Tribolium castaneum: one gene and its partner. The protein of the gene in region 2 purifies or fractionates together with the protein of the main gene of each other region. This does not show direct contact. Links are inferred from orthologs where the notes say so. Each region holds a gene or a part of one and is shown on either strand. Other genes may lie near its edges.

The links.
Region 1: the proteins of CycH (region 2) and Xpd purify together in Homo sapiens (affinity purification with mass spectrometry; 3 studies listed by BioGRID and IntAct, counting the BioPlex papers as one, with this or other methods). This does not show direct contact. The link is inferred for Tribolium castaneum from reciprocal best matches to the Homo sapiens genes CCNH and ERCC2.

Annotation. Positions count from the first base shown.
Region 1 is NC_087394.1:27,625,865-27,630,120, reverse strand, and holds the start of Xpd (general transcription and DNA repair factor IIH helicase subunit XPD), read right to left. Parts: upstream 2,926-4,256; 5' UTR 2,747-2,925; coding exon 2,742-2,746; intron 2,691-2,741; coding exon 2,591-2,690; intron 2,546-2,590; coding exon 2,291-2,545; intron 2,243-2,290; coding exon 2,009-2,242; intron 1,962-2,008; coding exon 1,741-1,961; intron 1,691-1,740; coding exon 1,557-1,690; intron 640-1,556; coding exon 110-639; intron 1-109. Other genes in the region: Tbce (tubulin-specific chaperone E), read right to left, coding at 3,091-3,392, 3,439-3,724, 3,774-4,256. UniProt on the Homo sapiens protein: ATP-dependent 5'-3' DNA helicase. Component of the general transcription and DNA repair factor IIH (TFIIH) core complex, not absolutely essential for minimal transcription in vitro.
Region 2 is NC_087396.1:24,077,259-24,081,106, forward strand, and holds CycH (cyclin-H), read right to left. Parts: upstream 2,305-3,848; 5' UTR 2,220-2,304; coding exon 2,103-2,219; intron 2,056-2,102; coding exon 1,859-2,055; intron 1,808-1,858; coding exon 1,606-1,807; intron 1,296-1,605; coding exon 949-1,295; intron 901-948; coding exon 771-900; 3' UTR 724-770; downstream 1-723. UniProt on the Homo sapiens protein: Regulates CDK7, the catalytic subunit of the CDK-activating kinase (CAK) enzymatic complex. CAK activates the cyclin-associated kinases CDK1, CDK2, CDK4 and CDK6 by threonine phosphorylation.

The DNA of each region.
Region 1 (4,256 bases), on a different chromosome or scaffold from region 2:
AAAATAAACGGTGTTTATTCCGCACATATACTATAAATTTTGTGCAAATTTATTTAAATAACTTAACATTCAATGGTCAATGATGAACTCCACCAACCTCTGGACTTACCATTGGTAGCAAACAAGGCCTGGCCAACGTCATAGTGAACGAAGACATGATCACAGGATGGAAGTTCAAAATCTTGGGGTACATATCTAGAGGGGATAGGGTTCCAGAGGTTATAACCACGGTTTGAAACCGATCAAAAACCGGTTTTATGGCAATCGACGAATCCAAACAACTGAAATGTAAGATCGGGTTTGACACCGTCGGTGTCTTATCATCAAACGGTTCTACGATTATCGTAAAACCTTTCGTATAAGTGGCCACCAAAGTGGCCAAATGTGTGACTAAAATGACCGGACTGAAGTCGGTCAAGTCTGATATTTCCAAAGTTCTCAACAGAGATGCCAAGCGTTCAGCACAGAAACGTAACGGTTTTCGTTCAATACAGACTTTGGATTGGACGTCTTTTAAAAATCCAGCAGGGCTTTCTTGCACCACGTGCTGGACTCGCAGCCGAGTTTTGAGGTATTCGAGGAAACGTTTCAGGAAACTGACAAAGTGCTCGGCGTTGCGAATATTTCCAGGGACGGCCTCTGAAAATTAATAAATTACGCAATTTAATTTTTTTTCGAATTACTGACATAATAAATAACAATCAGCCCAAAAAATTAATTCGGAAATGGCAATATTTTTGCCTCTGTCTAGCATTTAAGTGCATTTTTGAGCTACAAAATTCTTCTCAAAGCATTACTAAACCAGGCGGACAAATCACAAAATATCATCGAAAATGCGATTATTTTTGCATTTTCCGAGCATTTTGTATGGTTGTTTTAGCCTGAAGTTCAATGATTTCGAATAATGCCCTCAAAAATAAGACAAAAAATAAGCAAATAAGTTTACTTTTGAGAGATTTCAGCAGAAAAAAGATTCTTATTTAATCGAAAATGACATTATTTTTTGCTTTTTTCATGTGTTTTTATTTAGAAACAGTTATTTCGTTGAAGATTGTTTCGTTGAAAAATATTCGACTGAATTAGGTCAACCAAATTTGGCTTTACCGAGTGTTTACCAGGTTTATGAGAAAAAAACAAGGTTTTCCTCCAAAAAAATTCGTTGAAAAAAGGATGAAAATCCAGGAAAATATATCGCAATTGATGCTACCTATTTTATTTATTTATTGTCAGGTCAGGTCAGGTCAGATCTGTTTAGTTTTTTAACTTTGTTAAACATGTTTAAAAATTATACACAAATCGAAAATTATACTATTGAGTTTGTTTCATTCGAATGACCTCGTTTTCGAGTGAAATTTTGCTAAAAATAAGTTAAAAATTATCAAACTTTGAAAACAGTGTTATTTTTTAAATTCTCAAGCTGTTAAGTACAAAGTTTTTTGGCTAAAAATCACTAAATTTCTTCATTTTTGTCAACGCATTAAGCTGTGTCTATATCACTCAGTGTTGCCAACTTAATTTCAACGTCACGGAATATATAAATCTAATTCGGGTATTACCCTGGAGGATGGCGTCGGGCAAGACCGGATTGGCCAAAATGACGTCAGTGTCTCGCGCCACGCTAGCGTCGCGCAGCCCCTCAACTAATCTCTGATATTCTTCTTGCAATTTTTTGTGATCGTCTTCACGCATCCTAAAAAATTTTAAAAAATCCAGAGAAAACTTAAACTTCCGGGGATTTACTCGGCCACAGTACGTTCCAATAACTGGATGTTGGCGGAAGCTCGATCGATAATTCGTTTGTTGATTTTCACACTCATTGAGTCGATGCAAACATTATCGATATTGTGAGCCTCATCGAAAATAACAACTGACTCTCGTGTCAGCTCTTTGGAGACGACTTCGGCGATCTTGGGGTCTAGTAAATAGTGGTAACTGTAGACTACGATATTCGCGTAACTTATCTAGGAAAAAGGGTCAGAAGTGCAATGTAAAGTGTGACCTCAAGTACCACAAAACGAGACAGGAAATAGGGGCACCAGTTGCGGTCCCGTCCGTACTGTTTCAAATCATCTATACTGTAAACCCCAAACGGCATCGTACTTTCTTTGCCATCCAAAGCGAAACCTTCGTAATACTGACAAATGGGAGTTGTATCATCGTAATTGTGCCTCTCCCTTATGTAACTCGCCGTTAGTGCGTGGCATTTTCCGTCCACAATCTTACCCTCGCGCTCAGTACTCACCTGAAATTTGCAAAATCAAGCCCGGTTATGCACCCCCAAATCACCTACTTCCGGGTGAATACATAGATTCTTCCGTGAGGACAAAACCAGCCCCAGGAGATGGGGGTACTCCCCGTCCAACTTCTCATAATACTCGAGCAGTTTTTTCAATTCTTCCATAACTTTCTCGATTTCGGGGACAGTACGAGAGCAGTAGATCAACTTGCGGACGTCATGGGGGTGCTCGAGCATGTATGCAACAACGAGGGAGAGAATGGTGGTGGTCTTACCCGTCCCTGAGGGCATTTCCAAAAGGCAGTGGCCCTAAAATTAACATAAAAAAGGGGCTGTGAAAGGCGGGGAGCGTACTTTGGCGTCCAGGGCCCGCTTGAGCTCGCACATGTAGGCATACTGCTCGGGGTAGATGTAGTCATAGGGGAAGTACACGATTAAGCCATCGACGTTTAGTCTAAAATTTTCGGTTTTGAGGCAACTCAAGTGCCAATAGTCGGGTTCTTACTTCATTTTTTGTATGGTGCTGGGTGAAACCGTGGTGTTTACATTGACCCGGTAGTTTTTTTAGGTTATGGCATGTTTGGAAAAAAGTGCGGTTATGCAATTTTTTGTAATATTTTCTAACAATAGGAACGTTTCTATTGCTGCTAATCGATTAGTAAGGAAGAAGGGGGCCTAAAAATTTAAGTCCTGTGAGCTGGAACCACGTATTCTATCAGTTATTCAAAGATTCTATAATAAGTAGGGTTATGTAATGTATTCAAGTATTCAAGAAGAAAACACCTTTTTATTTGGAAAATATTTATTAAAAACTTTATTGAATAAATTAATGGTTTTGTACAACACAAAATCAATCACACTTTGTCTTTCACGATAATTTTATCACCATTTTGCATTGAGTAAACTCCGATTTCTTTCATTTCATCCTCTAGAAGAATCTCGATTTCTGGATCGCTCTTGCTGGCGTAAATCAAGTGGGGCCTTCCACTCAAGCTGAACATTTTCTGTGTGAGGACTATAAGTTTTTGCACAGTCATTGTGAGAGGCACTTTCTTTTCTACCGTAAAGTCCTCAAAAACTATACTTAATTGGACCAACGTATTTTTAATAATTTTCGGTTTTGAGACAAGTTCACTCTCTTCCAGCTCGCCATATTCTGCAAAAATAACCGTAAAAACGTAACAAAAAAAATATAAACAGACTTTGTATCAATTCCAAATATCTGTTGTGGGTTTTGAGAAAATCAGCCTCTTTGTTGGTACCCTTGGCGTCCAACCATTCAAGACCGTACTTTTTCATGTAGTCGTATTCAGCCCCCCGTCTCTCAGTGGCTTCAATCTCAACCCCATTTAAAATTTTCAAGTTGGCAATTTTTGCGATTATTATTTGATGGATAGTGTCAGGTTCTTCCGATTCTGTGATGGGGTTTTTGGAAAATCGCAGATTTTCTAAACTTTCAAGCCGATTTAACTCAGCCACAGAACGCCACTAAAATCAATCCTCTCATGAACGGAAACGAACAAAGTTTCAGTCTTACCTCACGGATCAAGTTTTTCACAACACATAATTTTTTCATCGCTCTGAAAGCTTGTACTTTGGGGGAATCACCCTCAAACTCAATCAACTGGAGCCCAATATTCTCCAGAATAAGTTGCTCCAAGTGCGGTAAATCCCCCAATTTGCAGACCTCCGTCCAAAACTCAATGTTATTCCCTTCAAGATCGAGCAACTTTAATTTGGTGAAAAACCCCTCAGGTGTGCTAAGCCCCCGGATTTTGTTATTCGGAGCTCTGAACTCTTCAACTGACGGGAAAATGCGTCCAAGTTGGCAAATGTGCCCCCAGTCCAAGTCCATACACCCACAAATCAGAGTTGTCACGTTTGGAAAACTCTCACTAATCGTTGGCAAGTCCAGCAAATTCTCACTAACATTCAGCCAAAAAAGCCTCGGCAACTGGCGGCAAATCTCAAAAACGCTCTCCCAAGACACTAGCAAATTTTTCGAAATGTCCAACTCTTC
Region 2 (3,848 bases):
TTCCCACTCGACATTTAAAACATAAATTTCGCCACGGCAAATTAAAAACAACTGTTTGGTGTTGGGTTCGTGCTTTTTAGAGTGTGGCGACAACAGATCGGACGATGAGAGGAAGAAGAGGCCGAGGACGGCCTTCACAGCCTCACAGATTAAATCTCTGGAGGCGGAATTTGAACGGAACAAATATCTGTCGGTGGCGAAGAGGTGCCAACTCTCCAAGACGCTCAAATTAACGGAGACGCAAATCAAGATCTGGTTCCAAAATCGGAGAACCAAGTGGAAGAGGAAATATACGAACGATGTCGAACTTCTAGCACAGCAATATTACACCTCGATGGGGATTCTCACCCCAAGGCCTATTTTTCTGGGAGACAGATTATGGTATTTATTCACTTCTTTTTTTTTGTAATAAATGAAAAGTTGCTTTATTTGATGTTTTTTAATTTCGTATTTTGTGCTAACAACTTTTAGGTTTTTCAACTATCCTGGCCAACCCGGGCTCTCTAGTGTGCCCTCAGTGCCCAGCATGTTACCACCGCCGCCCACCACACCCCTGGTGCCTAGACAGTGTGTTCCAAACTACGTCAGCTTTCCGGAACATCACCAGAATGAAAACTCACCAATGATGCAGCTTCAAAATTTCGGAAGACATTTCGAAAATTCGTAATTATTTACTCAACCAAAGATTTGTAATAAGTCATTTTTGTACCAAGGAAATAAATGTTTAAGTTATAGTTTTTATTCACAAAATTGAAATACAGTACACAATATTACGCTACTTCGGGTGAACCACCCACTGACATGCCTAAGGCGGAGTTATCCAAAGAATCAGTCCTTGTCGAAATACGGTGATACAAATCGTCATCTTCGTCCAGCAAAGCCTGCATTCGTTTCTTATATCTGGAACGTAACAATTAACCCAAGAATAAAAATTTGGAGGAGATGTACATTTCACTATCGGGATTATTTTCAGGATTCCTACACTTCTCCAATTTCTTGTCTAAAAGTTTCTGTTGATTTTTATCAGGCGTAGCGTCGACCATTTTAACAATAGATCGGATAGCTCGCACGGCTTCAATTAATTCAGCCAATTTGCCACTTCCCTCAACCCCAAATAGTGTATCAGTGACGTAAGAATCTAAATTTTCTTGCAATTTTGAGGCTGCGTGTAAAACAGCAGCTAGTGCCACTTGACTCGGAGAATACAATAACACAACGTCTGTTAAAAATGCTCTCTCGAGAAAATGTTCAGTTCCAGGCCTTAAACGTTCAGGATCATTTAATGCACATCTAGTCTAAAAACAATTAAATGGAAATCAAATTCGATGAAGAAATAAAACTAAGAGGCGAAACGAATTTTTTACTTCGGGTCGGAAGTCGTGAACGTATAGAAAAGTCCACAAAACTTTACTAGAGAGAGTTTAAGAAAAAAATTTTCATTTTCATAAAATTTTAAGCAAAAAAAATCAAAATTTTACATCTCTTGAAAAGCTGGTATAATTCACTGGTAATTCTTGGTGAAATGAGTGAAGTTTTTGGGGCAAAAAAGCGTAAAAAGCGCCGTCTCGCCTCCTAGAATTAGTCTTTCAAGGTACTTGAACCAACTTTAATATCAATTAGTAGTCCCTCCACTGGCCTGAACGGATTGTGAATCGACAACTGGAAATTCAGCTGCTCCATCAGCAACAACTCGTTGTTCAAAATAATATCAGTGGCCTTCTCCCTGTCGCCTTTGAGATTGGCAACAAATTGCTGAATGGAAACATTGAACTCTTCAACCTTACACGCTAAATAAATACACGTGACCCTTTAATAAACACAGTCAAAATAAACCAACACACAAATCCCTCCCCCTCACATTATCTCCTTAGGATGGTGGTTCATTACCGAATTGTGAATGTAAAAACGCTTGAAATAATGGAACGCAGTCCCGATCACACACCGCGTCATCGGAGGTTGAAACCGTTTACAAAAATCGCGTAATCGGATTTCGTAACGTTTCACCATTATCTTTTCCTCCTCGGCAGTGAGAAAAAACTCGAAACGAGCGGCTTCCTGCACCAACAAACTCAAAAAACGTGAAACACTCACGAAAAACTTACATTGATGTGGCGGCCGTAGGCTTGGATATGCTTCAAATTCGCAGCTTCGCGTAATTTATTTAACTCATCTTCGCTGTTAAACATCCAATTTTTACACTGCGTGCTCGTGGAAAACATATTTTGAGCGATTTTGAAATTTGTTTAGTTAGGTTACGTGCTAGTTTGACACATGACGGCTGTCACGCAACGTGCCGACCTCTCTCGCAAATTTGTAACACTTTATTTAAAGAAAACTGTAATCTAAATTTTTTATATAATGTATTTGAAAATTTTACAAAAAAATTAAAAACGTAGAAATTTTGGTATCATATGGTAATTAGCTGCGTTACTTTTATTTAATTAAAATTAAAATTGTTGTTTCTAGTTTTGTACTCGCCTACTAGATGGCAAACAAATGTCAAAGTCGGTAGTATTAAGGTGGGATTTTCAATAATTAATCTACACCTACACAATAATGAGCAAAAATAACCGTTGTTAAAATTCAAGTACGTTAGATTCGACTGGGCTTTTGTTGGGACAAAATTTCCATTTTTGCTACGTAGTAAAAGTAAAAAATAATATGTTTACTTAAGTTGTAATAACTGTCATATATGTTTACAACTTGTTTATGGAAATAGTTAATTGCTTATAGTGAAGAGATATCTAACAGCGTCGTTAAAAGTATTTTTATGTTTAAAAATATATTTCTTTGTGTCATTATTTAGGATCTAGTTCATGGTCTCAAACAATATGCGCCATATAAAAAAAATGTCTCGATGTTCTGCACAAAATTTCATTAAAACACAAACGGTTTTTTACGCAATTTTTAAAATTCGTTCAATATCCATTATTGCTTGGAAAAAATTAATAATTACAATATTAACAATATAAAGATTATAGTTATTTATTATACAAGACGATAATGAGATTGATTACTTATTTTATGAGCAGATGAACAATCTTTATCGTCGTGTATATAATGTAATATAACATTTTTTTCTGTAGCAAGATTTCAAGTTTAAAAGAAAAAAATTTTTATCGTTTAACCTTCAAATGCATGTCAATTTGTAAATTAAATTGAACAAATAATAATAAAAAAAATAATAAAGGTTTATAGAGAAAAAAAACTAAGTCAATTTTGAAAATACTTAGCGATCGAAGACCTACAACGAATAAAAAACGAAACTGCCAATATTTCGCAAAATATTTTAATTAATTTTTTGCTAAATTTTGTTCAACGTATTCATTATTGCAATGGAAATTATATTGAACATTTTTTGTAACATAAAAATCATGTATTTCGTGTTTAAACATTTTTTTATTAAAATGTGTTCTTCTTCAGTTAAAAGTGTTTTTTAACAATTATAGTATTAACTTATACTTATTATTTGATCAAATTTCAAGCGGCAGAGCTCTAACAATAAACTAAAAAAATGTTATATTTTTCCAAATTTTATTTGTTCGGTATTTTTTTAAGTTTCGACTAAAATAAGGTATGCAGGTGTTATACCATAGCACAAAAATGCTCTTTATAAAAAATACATTAAAAAAAATCAAGTTGGCTTTGTATTTTTAGAACAAATACAGTTTACACCCAATTTCAATAAGTTTTATAAATATTTTTTATAATAATATTTAACTGTACTTGTTGGAGACTTGTATTGGTAACAGAGAATTTAAATTCGATTAAAAAATGGTAATGAATTTTAAATTTGTCAGAAAATACATTAGATGCCAACCAATCTGATCTGAAATTTACCAATTTTC